Drosophila melanogaster: one gene and its partners. The protein of the gene in region 3 interacts with the protein of the main gene of each other region in a pairwise test. Each region holds a gene or a part of one and is shown on either strand. Other genes may lie near its edges. The genes, in order: t-Grip84, CG8925 and Dim1.

Region 1 (6,099 bases), on a different chromosome or scaffold from region 3:
TCTAGTGCAGGATGATCTAAGTTGGGTAATAAATACATAACTCTAATTGGATAGTCAGAAAAGGGACAAAAACATGTTCAGGGTTAGTAATTAGGCATACCTTGATAAAATACAAAACTTATTTTGCCGGCCTGTATAATAGAGCACTGACTTTATTGACTCTAGAAAGTGCTAAGTACTAAGGTAATGAAAAAAGTCACTTTTTGCGAATAATATTAATGACTACACAGATGCTTCTATTTATTAAGTTGTTCTTGTAGATTAATGGTACTCCTGTGATCAGTGTCAATTTCATTTTGGCTATGCAACTTCGTTAATATTCTGTTAAAGCTGGCTATTAAAAAAGTAGTAAACAGCTGTTTAGTAATGTCTAAAGCAGCCTTAAAATATTGAAATTCGAATAACACTCGCTCATTGGCTTTCGTAATTGATAAATTGAGCAACTACTTCAAGAGAATACCCTAAATACATAGCTATTCTATTTCCACATTGACTCTATCCAGTCAAGTCTATATATTTATTTGTTCACCAATGATCTCATTTCAAAGCCCATTAAATTCTGTAGCAACTGAGATTAAGTATATCAGTTTAATGGCTTTAGAAGTGGCTAAATGATGTGGTCACGTTGCTACTACCCTATTTCTTTCGGTGTACTCACGTGACACTGCCTTCTGGCCAGTCGGCGCCTAATCCACTTGAACGCCTCCTGGCGACGCCGGACAAAGGACATACTGGAGCGGTGCCACAGATGCAGGACGATGACGAGGACGCGCTGCACCCAGACTCCCAACCGCTCGCTCCACACTTCCCGGCGCAGCTGGAACATTAAGCACAGCACTCAGTCCGATTTTCAACGGAATCAAATACCATAACTTTCGCGAATGGCTAAGCACTGCGATATTCCTGGGCGGATTGGCCAAGACGGCGGGTAGCTAATAGAATTTCACTTTTGTTTTGGGGGCGGTACGCGGTACGGAACCGTTGTTACTTCAGTTGCGTTTGTTGTTTGACTGAGAATGCCGCCGAGTTTGTTTCTCCACCTCGGCAAACTTTGAGTGAGTGTGAGCAGTAGACTCCTCGACTTGAGACTCAAGACTTGAGACAGAGAGAGAGCCCTGCACTTGCGATTGTCACCGCTACTGATACTTATACTGTTTTTTTTTTTATTTTAACGTTTTTTTTTTTTTGTTGCTTTCCGCGTTTTGTTTATACAATTTTCTGGTGCGGACCGTGTGCGTGTGGCTTACTGGGGAACCCAGAAAAATCGTACTACTCGTACATAAATAATGCAATAAGTTGGGGCCCCACCGAATCGAGACAAAAACAGAAGGTGGAAAAATTGAAAAAAAAATCGAAACTGTTTTTGCATTCGCTGCACACATACACACACACCCATCAAACATCACACCTCTTCTGCTGTCCGAACACTCGAATACTTGAATACTCGGCTTTTAACCGAGCTTTGCACTCAATTTGATTGCCGGCAGAAGCGGCTGCAAAATCCACGGTAGTCACATGCGACACATGTGAAACACGCAGGGGAGGCCCATTTTACGGTGAAGGCGAAGGTGTTGCTTTTGTAATCGGCGGCCTAGGCACATTGGTCGCAAAACAACTAAAATGGGTGGTCAAATTTGGTATGTGACTCAGTTCAAAATATACAATATACATATATATCCAAATTAGATTATTAAATGGAATGTACAATTTGGAATAATCAAATATTTTTGAAATTATCTTCCTTGTCAAGTGGCAGTATACGACGTTTCATGTTAATATTTAATATGTTAATGTTAATGTTTAATATTTATTATTTAATTTAGAAATATTAAAACAAAGAAAGATTAACGCCCATGGTAGTGCAAAATTTGTTTTAAAATTAAAAAAAATATTTTATACACTTTTAATCGGGCATTTCTCCATATCATATTACCACTGTACTTGCACTAGTTCGTGTGTGGGCGTTTCTAGGCGATCCCTTGTACCGCGCCCAGTCTTCGAAGTGCAAGCGCCGCTAGGCGACGAAGGCAAACAAGTGTTTTGGGTGTCTGCTATACTCGTAAAATGCGAGGAGGATAAAAGCCCATGGAACGTCTATCGGAAAGCTTTTGGAGCGTAGATTAATGTTACTGGCTGTGGTCGGTCTGCTGGCCGTGTTGCTATTTTGTTATTTACCCGCTCGTTGCCAGTACGGTTATTTATTTATTTATGCTAATGTTGCTGGCAGAGCCGCTGACGCTGCATTTGCATTGTTTAGAATGAGAACAGCGAGAAAACGAGCGCAGCAACAAAAAGGGGGCACAGACAATAACAACAACTATAACAACAACATGTGCAACAGCAACTGCAGCTACAGCGGTAGCAACAAAAACACGACAAGTGGCACTCACGCGACAAAGGCCCATATATAAAGTGTTCTCATGGTTATCTCGTTGCCTGTGCGATACTTTCAAGTGTTTCACATGCAGAGGAAAAATTGATTTTTATCAATATAATAAACAATACACATATTCACATACATAATTCACTCACTGCAAATCATTTTCATTAAATCCAATTCATAGTTTTAAGATTTCACAAATTTGTTTAAGCACCCTAATAATATGTACCAAAAAAAAAATTTCTCACTGTGTGCGGATATTTTGGATACAAGCACATAGAAAGTTCGAAGTTCCCATCGCGTAGAAATTGATGGAAAATTCTCAGCACGTTCGTCAGTTGGTTCTGCTGCTCCGCTTGATTGACAACTGGGCGTCGGATCGCCCAGCTCAACTTGAATCGTTGAAGTATGGGCTTGAAATGCACCTGTGGCTCCAAACTTCGACGAAACCAGAGGCGAAGATGTCGCCGCTGGGCACGATGATCGATGGGGATCCAGATTCAAAACCAAGTTGATTTACCTCGACGATTCAGCGGATATCACCGAAAGTAACCACCTTTCACAAATGGCTAGAGTTAAGTTTGATAATAAGCAGAAATGGAAATCAGAACTAGCAGAAGTTAGGTGTACTCAGCACTAGCACCTATTGTTATAACAACCAAAAACTCTACTAACTTTACATATATTTAATTATTTAATTTCAATCTATCCAACATACCTTAGTTATTATAATCATTCAGAGAACACTTAAATAATTTTAAGCTTCGAAATCGATCTCTGTTCTTGATATATTTTCTTATTCACCATGAACTCCGACAAATCGGAAAGTGACTTCGCGAACAAAGTGCGCTTTCACCTCAGTAAGGACGAGCTGGAGCGGCAGATGAGGAAAATTCACGACCGTGAGGAATCCGTAGACGAAAAAATGCGTCCATCAGGAAGCGAAAACAGCGGTCATAATTGCAATACGAGCTCGTCCTCAAGTCTGCCACGGCAGGAGTCCTGGATCTTCGAGAGCGTTGGGGGTTACTTTCTCGCCAACGAAAATTTGGCCAAGATGAGTTTGCCTTGTCAGGAACAGTTGCTGATGAGGGATCTAATCTATGCCTTCTCGGGTGTTCCATCTGCATATGTAAAGCCTGATATTCAGATCGATCAGATTTCCGAAATGTCTGCAGTGGATATAGCCAAGATTCGCTTTCGATTGAAAAAGACCTTCACTGGGGCTTTTAGGGCTTTGGCCAATGAAACATTACCCCTGATAGGTTATTATATTAGTGTACAGAGCTATATAGAGGAGACCAATATGTCGCCTAACTGCGGAAGAACACGACTGACCTTAGCCACTGCCTTAAGTGATCAACTGCAGGACTATTATGATCTACAGTCCAAGTTGGAAACGGATTTGCAGGACAAGAAGTTGGATCTCAAGGATCTGGTGCGACAGGTGCGTCCTTGGTTGCCTATTTTGAAGACTTTTTCCAACATGGCCAGCAGTGCCCGTGGCAATTTGACCAGCGCCCAGGTCCTAACATTGCTGGACCAGTTCTACCGGGATCTGAAGGACACTGATATAGATCTAAAGGAACGAGTGAACAAAATTTTGACTTCGACTAGTCGAGCTTACATGAAAATTGTTCAGCTTTGGATGCAAAAGGGTGTTCTATTCGATACGCAGCATGAGTTTTTTGTGGAGGACACGGAGCCCTCGAGTACAATGAGCAGTACTCTTTTGGCGCCGGAGAAATGTTGCCACGCCTACTGGGCGGAACGGTACCGCCTTTTGCCAGACCGTTTGCCCGGTTTCTTGCTTTCCCAGGCGGATGATATTTTTCTGGCCGGAAAGTACCTAAACATTTTGAGGCAGTGCAATGTTTCATTGAAGCTGCTACAGCGGCCACTAGCTTATAGTCAAGGCGATTTGGGACATGAGGAGATCATTAAAACAAGCTATGAGCTGCCAGCACATAAGTTTCTCAAGGTTTTGGTGGAGGAGCACAATTTGCCTTTACACATTCGCAATTTGAAGTCCTATTTCCTGCTGCAGGAGGAAGGCTTCTCCGAAACTTTTCTGCACAAATGCCATGAGTACCTAAAGTACAATGTGGAAAGGTTAATTCCCGAGAAGCTACAGACTCTTCTAGCAGAGACCCTGCATAAGTCCAATGATTTCATTAAGGATAATGTTCGCTGTCAGCTTAAGGTTTGCGATGTAGCCACACTATTGGGTAGGCAACATAAAGCACAGAGAGCTGTAGAAGATGAAGAAGAGGAGGAGAAGGAGAGCTGCAGCGAGCAGGATCCTCCGGAGGTCCTGAATCTCTACGGCTACGAGGCATTAGCTCTTGGCTATGAAACAAAATGGCCACTAAGCTTTATTATCTACCCGGAGCTCCTAGAGCAATTGCAGATGTTACAGCGTGTCCTGTTTTTTTTGCACTATGTGAAACATCATTTGACAGTCCTTTGGCAAAGTCCTTGTGAGGGTACGGGTCTCCAGCTAACCAATCGATCTGGAAAACTTCGCCACCGCATGCTAATGTGTATGCTAAGTCTGGAAAACCACATCATCCAGGACATCACCGAACCCCGATGGCAATCTTTGACCTTAACGGTGGACAAGGCAAAATGTATCGACGAGGTACTAAACAAATTGGAGAGCACCGTAGAAGAATGCCTGCGTCTGGGGTTACTACCCACTGCCAACACGTTTGTGAAATCTCTATACACACTCGGTCATGTGTGTCTCAACTTTTGTGACTTTGTGGAATCCTCGATAGGAGAGAAAAGTACCAAAGAACTCGAGCAGGAAGTGGTCGAGTACGAAGAGGAATTTAAAAGCTTTTTGACCAGCATTTTGGAGTTGGTTAGCCAGTTGGCTAAGACGAAAGACATTGCGGAACGGGACTCCTGTAAACAATTGCTCAAACGACTTGGGGAGTTAATTGAGTTCTCCGATTTGGATAAGGATCAAATAGCTTCCAATATTTAATCAACGGCATCAAAACGTGTCCAACAGCTTCGCCAAATCACCCGTGCTTTTTACTCTCCATGACCCATGGAACATTTAGTGCTGTGTTTACTTAACTATATTATAAGAGCGTTCTTGCAAAATGAAGTTAACTCTTTCATTTACTTTATTAATCCTTTGAGATTCAAAAAGCTATCAATCCATTATCCACAAGTGTGAGCTTGTCTTATGCGTATGACACCTGTGGCGCTCTTCCACTTTTAAGTTATTGTTAAGTGGCGCACAATGGGCGTGAATAATCGATGTGTGCGTTTAATTTCTGGCCAACGAGCATTATGTCGAGTCACGGTGGCAAGTTTGGGGGCTAGTGCAACGAAAGCGGCGATTTGCATAAGATCGTAAATTATTTTAAATGGCGGTAAAGAGATTTTAATGCAGTCCCGCAGCCTCAGCCTCAGTCTGGGTATAGCCCGATTCGTTGGAGGGGCCAAAGCCCGCTGCCAATTTGAATTCAAAGGCCAATTGTTATGTAAATGCACTTGCCTCAGTTGCAGACGCACGCAAGCGCACGAAAATTGTATTAATAAATAAATGGGGGAAAAAAAAGGAAAACTCGCGAGCGGCTGTCCAGAAATCACTTAATACTTATCGCTTTAAGGACAACAGGTGGTCGACGTCGATGATGATGATGCAACGTAAAATGTATCTGCAACTTTGCATTCAACTGCCCAGAGCGGGCCAATAATAA
Region 2 (6,099 bases), on a different chromosome or scaffold from region 3:
CATTTGCTTCTTTTGCATCTGGTTCACCATGAATCTGGTATACTACGGCATTATTCTTAACATGAGCTCCTTTGGCGGCAATGTCTACTTGAATTCGGTGAGTTATGCTGCTTTTAAGAAATTAAGTATACGTAGGGCGGGCGCAGTTCAATCCACTTAGGCAAATCATCGGCGACGGCATGGGAATCTTCAGCCGAAATCTTGTTAACATATAGGATCAATCAGGCATTTAGCCACCGCCAAGAGGTTCACCATTTTCGGTGGCACTGATGGCCACCTAATTGGATTTGTCAGCAATTCCATCAGACGCTGACTAAAGACTGTCTGTTCGATGTCAAGTGTTCTCCGACTGGCTGGACGGTGTGAAAATGTGCTTGCAATCGAATTATAATGTTACTGGCCCACACCCACCTCCAATCCATCCACAATATAGTAGATAAATCCTGTCGCGGCCGCAGCGCCACTCGCAGCCATCTTAGCCCCTTCCACCTGGCAGATGGCCAGCAAAATGTTGAGAGCACAGTGCTGGCGGGCCTTGAGTGTACAATATGTTCGGCATGTTTGGCATTTTTTCGGGATTTGATTGTTTTAAAGCACTAAGCACCTAATGTTGTCCGAAATCCATGTTTGTTTGTTTGGTTGTTTTTTTTTTTATTTTTTGTTGTGGAACGAAAAGCTAATGGAATAAGTGGGCTAAAGATGTTCAGTTTGCGCCAGACATGTCTAAAGATTTTCGTACAGGTAACAATATTTTAATGTATAATATGAAAGCTGTGTATGTGTTTTATTACCTAAAAATCCTAAATAACCTTAAATTATCTACTAAGCACATTATTTGTGTGCAATTCGAGTCCGAATTTCTCGACTTTAGCCAGCCAACTGCTCAGCACTGTCCAGCATTCGCCAATGGGCGTGACAGCGAGGTTTTCAGCTAATTTATTGCATAATTTATTTTGACAACGCCGAGCGCACCTTTGATGCCGCTCTGATTTAATGCGCCCAGCCGACAGCTGACATCTTGTCCACTTGCCCTCGTCGTCCTCATCCCCTCCTGAATGTTATGTTTTATCTATGTTTTCCACAGGCGCTAGCTGGCCTAGTCGAAATACCCGCCATCGCCGTGGCCATGTACATCATCACCAAAGTGGGCAAGAAGTGGCTCTTTTGCGCCACTTTGATCTGTGCCGGCGTCGCCTGCTGCTGTGCGGCGATCACCGAGGGGCATGCGGATCTGCTCTGGCTGAAGATCACATTCCTGATGATGGGCAAGTTCACCATTAGTGCTGGCAATACCATAATGCCGGTGTACACGGCGGAACTGTATCCCACGCCCATACGCAATGTGGGCGTGGGTGCCTGCAATGTGGCCGCCGGTTTGGCCTTGATCCTCACACCATACCTGTCGCTACTGGTGAGTTTACCTCTTGTAGGGACATGCTCATAAGGATAAACCGTAACCCTGAACTTATGTCTTTCAGAACAAGATCGAGGGCCATCTCTTGATGACTCTGCTCACCGCCTGGAGCATCTTTGGCGGCTTTGTGGTGCTCTTCCTGCCCGAAACCGCTGTGCGTCAGAAGACAGACAACCAGGGTGGCTCAAGTGCCAATGCCAGTGCCGCCAAGCAGGTGTAATGACCGCCATTGCCAATCCTAACCTGCTCAGCCCACGAGGAACAAAGTATTTTGGCTGGTCCAAAGTATGCCGATTAGAAGTCAGCGTATCCAACGCAGTTGCTGTCTCTCTGCCCCCCACTTAACCCCCAATCTGCCACGCCACCCGACATATCCACCGCCTGAAGCCACCTAAAATGTATGGTAACGATTCGATGAATGTCCAAAAGTAATGCCAATTCGCTGGAGAACGTCACATGTCAGGCAGGACCTTGTTTGCGTAGCACGTAATGAGTATGTATCTTACTAACTAACAACAATGGCTTGTAGCTTATGTCATAATCTAAGTACTGAAAACACACAGAACACCCAGAATGTTACCAAAAACACTCGAAGTAGCTTAAGTTCTTCGGTTCCCATCGAAGGTTATAAATTTGACCCAAGTTTAGGGAGGGTTTGCAATGGGAGCTTACAAACTTATTTTAATACAGCTTTATTATATTATTTTATAATTTTATTTAAATGGTTTTAAAAATAAGGAAGTATTTTTTTGTACGTGATTGCGCCACAAGCTCCCTAGGAAGAGTAATAAAAATAAAAAATTACCCAGTAAATACAGAGCGCTTAATTACGGAATTACCAATTCAATTACAAACGAATTAAAGTTCACACAAAGAAAATTTTAGAAAAACAATTTATAATGTTGTCAATATGTCTTGTCAATATCTCAACGTATGCATAATCTCGTCGTCGTCGTCGTCGTCTTCTTGTTGTCTATTAATAAATGTTTTCCAAATACGAGATGAATAAGCAGAGAAGCTCAATCTTCCACAGAAAAGAGAAATGAGAATGGCAGATTTAAGCGACCATTTGTAATCTCTAGTAATCGTAGTCAATTAATCCTTAGTCTACCCTTAAACGTATCTACAACAGATCAGTCTCTAAGTATCGGTCAATTATGGATTTGTATATATTGTCTGTTTGTGTGTGGAGGAGACACAGGACATACAAGGAGTTTTACTGTTTGGAGCCATCAAAGAATATATGTATATGAAATGAACAAATAAATTTCCAATATAATGCATTTAACAATGTATACAATTATGTGTATATGGATATGTGTGCGTTTGTGTATGTATATGTAGAGAAAAACAAAAACAATCAAATTAGAGAAAGCCAACCTGTTGAATTACTTGTTGTACTTACCTATCAAGTTGTTATGTGCTCATTTGTATTTTGTATTATTTTCCGCAATATAATGTCGCTTATTTTACATTTATTTTTGTTGCCTATTGTACTTACCCGCTAAGATCATATCAGCTTTGTTATGTACTATTTGTCATTAGTAAGAGATTTCATTAAGCTTCAAACAAACGGAATACCCGAATCTAAAACAACATTAAATTAATTGTTAAGTTAAAGTGTTTGAGCGAAACACAGACATAAATTTATGAAAATTGTTGTAAATCAAAATTACCAAAGCAAACGCAATTATAGTGTCAAAATAAAACATAAATAAATAAATAAATAAATAAATTAAAACAAAAGCAATTGTGTCGATATGGAGATATGGATAGTCCTGGCGGAAGTGAATGTCACTCAAGTCGAGCGAAAGCTTTCGCAGGCCTATACCAAATCAATTGATCGTGGGGTAGTAGTCGAAGCTTTGAGTTGAGCTTTTTCGATACTGGCAATGCCATGCATATAGCTTTCGCTCTTTTGCAGATTTACAGAGTGCTTATAACAGAGCCCCAAACCGTTAACGGTTCCAGATCGATGCCGACGGCTGAGATACTAACGATCGACGCGGTTTTGTACTTATTTTCAATCGATCGATTGGCGCACCAAGTGGAGTAATAAAATCGGAGGGTTTCGAAATCGCTTGATATCGTCCATATACAAAAAAAAAAACCTATATATATACCTCCTCGATATGAGTGGCGTGCTGCGTCGCGGTTCCCTGAATTTCGATTGCGTTGGCGGGCCGCGGGACAAGGGCAGGGGCAGCCTGGAGGCGAACCTGTATGGCGGATATCGCGAGACAAGGCCCGGCCCAAAGACTCCGGAAATCAGTGTCATAGCATTGGACTTTCGACGATATTCCGAGGACCTGAAGAAACCACCTTCAGCGGAGCAAACGGAGCAGCCACCGAGCAGGGATCTCAGTCAGGATGAGGACAGCGATGTGATATCAAATTTCCTGGGCCACTACACCCGCTGGAGTTTTCTTTGGACCCTGCTGCTCTGCCTGTTCCAGTTGCCCACCACTTTTCACCTGTTCATGTTTGTCTTCCAGGTGAGTTTTGGTTTTATGGCTTGGCAAATATTTGACCAGTTGATTGCGTCGCCCGAAAAACATCGAAATCAAATATTTTTGTACGCTAAAACCACCCGCCCACCAAACCCCTCCCAAACTTCCCCGGATGTTTGATAGTTTGTGCTTAGACCGGAAGAAAACATTATGCAACTCAAATTGATTGATAGCTGTAAACTCTGTAAAGTAATTTGCACTAATAATAGGCGGCTAATTGGATGTGTATATCATCTGAAAGGTGTTGACAATGAGTGGAAAACGAAAGAGAGTTTGACATTACAAAACGTTATCAGCAAACGAGTTTGCTATAAACGAGTAACAGTAACAAAACAAGTGATAACACACTGAAGAGCTTGCCACTTGAGTTTGTTGGCCAGCAATCAAGGTAGCTCGCATGCCAATTTCGGCCCAGCAATTTCAGACCCACTTGGCTTTGATTTTGTTTTAAATATTTTTTGAAATGCCTCTCGACCTTCGAGCACCTTTGACCAACATTCAGGGAGGCTGTCACAACACTGAGTACTTAGGAGCCATTTATCGGCATGCGGGTTGCGTGTGCATCATTTGCCTATGTTTTGAAGTTTCGATGCCACCGCTAATCAGCGTAATCATCGTCTATCGTGCTAATGTCCAACTGAAAAAGTAGCCCCAAATCGAAGGGAGCTGAGCAAAAACCACATGCGACCTTGACACACACGATCTGCGGAACGGTGGGTAATAGAGCTTGGCCAGAACCAATGGCAAATGCAATGGTCATTCAAAGAACACAAGAAGTTCGATTGCCTGAGCACAGTTATTTTGCAGAGGTTAATTATACCAATTGAGCGGCTGTAAATTGGGGAATAAGTGGGGGGAATGGTTAGGTTCAGCATGTTGCGTGATGCAACTGAGAGGAAGTGTTAGCTCATTTGGAAAAGTTCATAAAACAATTAGAGGAAATACTTTGACATCTCTCAATATTAAAGTTTCTGTTCTGTCAAACCCATCTATCAGCTTGAAATATTGAAGTATTTGTCTAATCATTTATAGAGACTTAATTGACTAGTAGTAAAATAGGTAATAAATAAGCATTTTTGATAAAAGTTATTGCACAGGAGGTACTGATTTAATTGTTTCTGTGTTCTTCTTCTTTTTTCCTTGATAACCACTGTGTTATCTTGGGAAGACAAACAATAACCAATTGTTTAAGACTGTAGTCTATGAAAACTATTCACTGAATTTACATGAAGCAATCAAAAATTGACAGTCACCGATAAGATAACGACTGTCGAACTGAAAGAAAGTTCGGTTCTATAAAGATTACTTTATGTTGGCCAGATGCTCCAAATGAAATTGACTCGTCGAAGAGTGTGCATTAGCCTTGTGGGTGGAGTTGGTCAAGGCACTCCCCAGAAAGGTCGACAGTCTACAAAATTATAAAGTCATCAAGTGATTCTTTAATGACTCATTTGGCCGGGTGTGAAGACGGAGCTAACAAGTAATTTGACTATCGCAACATCGCGCTGTGTTCGGACATTATCTTAGGGCCCCCACAGAAATCAGAAACAACGGCGCGCCTGCATAAAAACCAGAGACACGGCCGAATCTCTCTGACATACGCACTCACGGCTCTCGACACCTCGGAGCACTTCAGAACGTCGGCCCACCGAATCTTGCATCTGAAACCAATTTAAATTTCATAAGATATATTTTCGAAAGTCAACATTCTAACTCAGTTGACGTGCAACGCACGGCGTAAGCGGTTGCACTTCGAACCGGGCCACAATGGAGCTAACGGATGTGAGATCGGGCGAGGCCTCGCCCATGTTGAGCGATGGGAACATGGAGAACCTAGATCTGTTGCACACTAAGCTCCTGGAGCGGCTCTTGGGCTGCCTAACGCCATGGCAGAGCATGTGGTGCGCCCTGCTCTCGATCTTCCAGGCCATCTGCACCTTCCACATATTCGTCTACGTGTTCCAGGTGAGTCAGTCGGCCTCTGGCCAACAACATTAGCCATCGTTGCGCTCCATCGCCTGCCACCTGTGCCCATCATCGCTGGCACCGCCAGTGCCAACTAATATTGGCCAACTACAACGCAACCGCAATTGACAAGGTTCTGTATATTAGCCTGCATGTGGTACCTCCTCCCCCAATGTCAGTTATCAGCGCGTTCCCGTGATAACGTGAATT
Region 3 (5,554 bases):
TTATGTCTTTACTTTATCAACAGAAATCGGTCAATATTAGATCCTGATGTGGAAATATTTGTATTTTTCATTCATCAATGTGTTTAAAAAAGTTACTAGAGTAATGATAGAATATTGTGTTTTGTATTTTGTAGACGTTAAGTAGAAGTAATATTTACATAGGTAACTAACACGCGTGTGGCACCTCCAATATCAAGTATTTTTAATAAATTACGAAATTATTCCAACTATTTGTATGGTTTTTTCTGTTTAACCTGATCAATAAGATTGAGCAGATACATCCTCATTTTTCATGACTATTCGAAATGTTACTAATTAGTTGCAAAATTGGAGCCACACGCCTAGTACCACATGAGGTGTATTCACCATATAGCCACGGATTCAAACTCTAGTTACACTCCACAAGCACAAATCCCAGTCGGCCGGGAGCACATAATGGAAGATGCCATCAGAAATGTGGAGTAACAATCAATTAGCACCTGCGATGTCGACGAAATGAAAGTGCTGTTCTGCCCGTTCAGATCGTTGGTATATAGATCACTTCTAGTAGCACCTTCTGCCCGGAATCTGGGTCATGAAAAAACGAAATCACGAACTTGCCCAAACGGAGTCGAATAAAACCAATGGTCGGCCCAGTGCTCCGTTGTATTCCAAAATTTCTCGCGACACGGTGCGGTGGTGTTTTTGTTTCCGAGCTCCGGCGGACATGAGGACAGTATAGCCCCCAAGGAAACTTAGTGATAGTGCGCAGCTATAATTATATTTATAAAGTGTTCCGAGGTGAAACGATATCAAGATACGAGATCACACGATGCGTTTAGAAGGCGCCAACTGGGCGCTGGTGGTGGGTCTCAGTCTAATCCTTGGATTTGGACGAGTCCAAGCCTATTCTCAGGTTTTGGTCAGCGGCACTGGAGCTGCAAACGATCAGGGACCACGTATCTTCAAGGCTCTAAATACGGATTTGATATTTCCGAGGACGTAAGTTGCAAGTGTTTACGAATCGGTGATCAAGTCTCCTGACACTTCCTGCCCGCGCAGCTTCAACTCCAGTGACAATGTGGTATCCACCACTGGAGCTCCAGTGATTACATCGACATCCACGACAAGTCCACCTCCTATTCCTTACAACCATCAACCCGAAGGAACAACCAGTTCCCCACTGTTTGTCACCCCGTTAGTTGTCACAGAGGCGGAAAAAGTCGATGATCCTGCTCCAGTATCCGAGGAGCAAACAGAGCCAGTCGTACAAGGAGCCTCCACAGGACGCGCCGTGGACTACAGGACAGCGTATCCCTTTGGCCAACTGATAACTCCGTTGCTGCGAGGCGGCAAGCCGCAGCAGTACAACTCCCGACCAACGAAGACACGTATTTACCCGCAAGGTATACCATCCTACTACTCTTCATCATCACAAAATCCATCCCGCTATCAAGCTTCGAGGCCCAGCTATAAGAAAGGTATCATCATCGCATCAATAGAGCATACAAATCAAAACAGTTCTTAAATTCTCTAACAAATATTTTTATACATACTTATCTTTGTATTTAACCTAAGGAATCGCCGATCGTTTTGCTCCTGGCGAGGGAACCGCCGCTGGTCTGTTCAAGGGACACAATCATGATCACAGTCACGACCACAGTCACGATCATTCCCATGGACAGGATGGCAAGGTGGCCGCCGGCTCCAATTCGGTGAACTCCTATGTTTCTCCAGGCGATACGTACTCCTTTCCGCCGTTGAACACAAAGTATCCATCACCGTCACAGGATCCCAAGGCTGCATTGCCATCGGATACCGTGACCAGTTACCTGCCACCCGCATCTGGAGGGCTGAGCAACGCTGGATACATATATCCGGGGCCTTCTTCCAATGGTTACAAATATCCCGGTCCAGTGCCCAATAGCAATGCCGACAAGGATACGGCGGCCAGTATGGCGAGTGCTTCCCCGCCGGCTGATGATGACCCCGGTAATGATGATTCCATCGGAACCCTGCCAGCTAGTGCACAGGACAACATTCCTTCCAAGGATCAGGACAGTATGAGCGGTCCTGCTCCTGCAGATGGCATGGATATGGGATCTCCTGCTGATGGTGGAGATGGGGGTGGCGGTGGCGGCGGAGATGGGGACATCGGCGGTCTGCCATCTCTGCACAATGATGGTTCAGGTCCCGACGACGATCACAAATATGATCCCAATATGGAGTATGCCACACCACCGCCCGGTTGGCTGCAATCTCACCCAGAATCTGCGGCTCCCAAGCCGGATGATCACGATCACGACCATGCACCCGATCATGATCACGTGCATGATCACCACCACGATCACTATCCGACTCACTTCGACTACCAGCCCTCGTATCCGGATGATTCCTATCCGGATGTCATTTACGATGATCATCCACACCACCATCACCATGTCCACCACCCACCGCCTCCTCCTCCACCGCCACCACCACCACCGCCACCGCCACCGCCGACGGAACCACCACCACCTCCTCCGCCGCCACCAGAGCCACGTGTGAAGAAGTACAGCTACTTCTACATTGGCCGCAAGCTCTGGTACATCCCGCTCTACTTTACGGTGTGGTTCAGCTTCTACATCCTGTGGCTGATCATCAAGTCCATCGGTCGCCACAAAGTGAACCTACCCAATCACTACGTCTCGCGACGCAGTGCTCCCGATCCATTTACCGAGCAGGGACGGGACGAGTATATCAACGAGATGACGGTCAGGGTGCTGGAACACATAGATAGCTTTAAGCAGAAATACTTGAACTGATAAGGACGCTACTAATTACTAAATGCCTATTAAAAACTTAATTATAAACCGAACGTTCTTGCACTGCGTTTTATTGGGAAACACATTTTAAATTTCGATAGCCACATGGTTCCGTTTCCGCTGACAGCTGTCATCGATATGTAATCGATAAGGTTATGCTATCATTGTTAGTACATCACTATTTTGTGAGACTTTGTTTATGTTTTAATTTTTCTGCGGTAACTTGAAATAAAAAACGCGCCAGGATGTCGTATATGCTCCCTCATTTGCACAATGGCTGGCAGGTGGACCAGGCCATTCTCTCCGAGGAGGACCGAGTAGTTGTGAGTAATCGCAGTCGGTTTAAGAAGACACTGCTTCGTGGAGCACCACTTGGTCAATCACCCATCAGACATAAATAATCAGAATTGTTTCCCCTTCAGGTAATACGTTTCGGTCACGATTGGGACCCCGCCTGCATGAAAATGGATGAGGTCATGTACAGCATCGCCGAGAAGGTGAAGAACTTTGCTGTCATCTATTTGGTGGACATTACCGAGGTGCCGGACTTCAACAAGATGTACGAGTTGTACGATCCTTGCACGGTGATGTTCTTCTTCCGCAACAAGCACATCATGATCGATTTGGGCACGGGCAACAACAACAAGATCAACTGGCCACTGGAGGACAAGCAGGAGATGATCGACATTGTGGAAACGGTGTATCGAGGTGCCCGTAAGGGCCGTGGTCTGGTAGTCTCGCCCAAGGACTACTCTACCAAGTACAGATACTAAGGTGGGTCGCGTACCCCGCCGACTTAGTTTAATGTATCCCATTTAGGCGTAACAAATTGATGATCCCAAATAGAAGCGACTGTCTCTTGGCAACTTGTGTATATGTATTTTCTTCTGGTTTATTTTTCACTTGTCACATTTCTCATTAATATCGCTAACATGTACATCAATTTCTTGGTTTTTCATATATAACATTTAACTAAGTTTGTTCTTTAATAGCTCATACTTTTAAAAATTTTAATCCGTTCTTTAAAGTAAACTTTCATTAATAATTCTTGTATTTGCGCGTTAGTAGTACACATATTCGTTTTAATTTCGAATTGCTTTCATTTACCAATTTGATCAATTATGCTTTGAGTTTAGCTAGAGGTACATATAGACATCAATCGAGCTTATAAACATTATGGAAATTAGGTCGGACTATGGAAAGGGGGGCGTTAGTACAAAAGTATAAAAGAAAACATCGCAACGAAACATTCGCGGGAAAAGGAAAGAAGTCTTTTCTAGTAAAAACACTAAGTACTCGTATTCGAAGTTCACAAATTGAATGGCCTACGCATTGGTGCCGATATCCAAACTTTGTCTTCAACATTGTTATTGTTCATTTAATACAACAGCTCAGTTTTATTACAGATTTATTATGCTTAGGTTTAACAATTGGTTCCGCTACTCTTTGACTTACACAAGTTAGGTTTGCTCATTGGTTTCATTAAATATAGGTATGTATATTTATCTACGTTATTAGTTATATGTATATGTTTGCTCATTTGAAACAAATCAACGCTACAATTACAATATTTTCATTTACGAATTTTCATTTACGCTTACGTTCTTCAGCATATAACCAACAATTAAATGTTTGTGTTTCTGGGGGATTTTCCTTTTGATATACCATTTCCATTTCCTAGGCGCCTTTCGAGTTGATCTCGTCGTACAAAATACTTACTAGTATTAAAAAATATTCAAATAGGGCTCGATTTATACATGTGTGGTGTATATAAATATATACTTATGCATAGGATAGGTACAAATCAGGCTCAGGCTGAGGCTCAGGCGTGTTAGAAAGTCTCTGGGGGGCTGGGGCACCTCAAAATGCAGCTCTATCATATTATCTCGCCTTTCGACCACTAATTGTGTATTTTGATTTGAGTAATCCGAGTTATTTGATTCATTTCCCTTCCCTTGGCTTTAGCTTTTCATAGAAAAATAGAGATGCGTAGGTGGGATGAGTTAGGAAATTGTTTACATACATGTTCGTCATTTTTCTATATTCGCTTTCTAACTTTATATTCTGACAACAACTCTATTATATATCCAACAACAATTCATTTTCGAACAGGCAGGAGCGGGGAAATGCGAAAATGTTCCTGGAAAGTCGTCACCTTTTGTCTAGCTACGCGTTAAGGACATTTAGGCATCTTCGGGCGGACCCCTCGAGGTCCTTAAGGTCTTCGGTCAGAGTACTTTTGTTGCAAGGATAACACGACATCGCTGGATTCGATGCGAAGTTGCGGTGCACTCTATAAAATTTCTAAATTACAATACTTTAAGTATTTGGCTGCTGGTTAAGACACTAGAAGAGTTTTCATTCCGTAAGAGGGAGAGCTATAGATAGAGATAGAAAGACCGATATATGGTGGCGACTGGCGATATATCTATAGAAATATATGTATAAACTTTCTCTTCAGTATGGCGCCGCATACAAATATATATATTCGTACGCCTGCACTTTTGTTTTACAGATAAAGTGTGAAAAATAAATCCGAGTATCACTACTTAACTTTTAGAGTTCTATTAACAATAATAGACAACAGTCTCTAAGTACGAATACGTTGTTGTTCATTACCCACTTCCACCTTCCCGATCGGTCTATGCATGATTAGTAGGCATGTACTACTGTACTGTGACTCCGTGTGCCAGACCGAACTATCTTATGTTTTGACTAAATGCGCTTAATCTAATCCTCCTTACCTATACCTAAATACTCATCAATACTCG

Evidence for each region.
Region 1: the proteins of Dim1 (region 3) and t-Grip84 interact in a two-hybrid assay, tested with the Drosophila melanogaster proteins (one large-scale study listed by BioGRID).
Region 2: the proteins of Dim1 (region 3) and CG8925 interact in a two-hybrid assay, tested with the Drosophila melanogaster proteins (one large-scale study listed by BioGRID).

Annotation. Positions count from the first base shown.
Region 1 is NT_037436.4:7,588,005-7,594,103, reverse strand, and holds t-Grip84 (testis-specific gamma-tubulin ring protein 84), read left to right. Parts: upstream 1-3,105; 5' UTR 3,106-3,185; coding exon 3,186-5,372; 3' UTR 5,373-5,496; downstream 5,497-6,099. Other genes in the region: Pura (Puratrophin-1-like), read right to left, coding at 659-826.
Region 2 is NT_033777.3:16,168,611-16,174,709, forward strand, and holds the start of CG8925 (uncharacterized protein), read left to right. Parts: upstream 1-3,380; 5' UTR 3,381-3,546; coding exon 3,547-3,909; intron 3,910-5,697; coding exon 5,698-5,889; intron 5,890-6,099. Other genes in the region: CG6006 (uncharacterized protein), read left to right, coding at 1-97, 1,085-1,411, 1,479-1,634.
Region 3 is NT_033779.5:4,400,309-4,405,862, forward strand, and holds Dim1 (Dim1), read left to right. Parts: upstream 1-2,942; 5' UTR 2,943-3,028; coding exon 3,029-3,106; intron 3,107-3,205; coding exon 3,206-3,556; 3' UTR 3,557-3,647; downstream 3,648-5,554. Other genes in the region: CG33003 (uncharacterized protein), read left to right, coding at 812-981, 1,042-1,460, 1,558-2,783.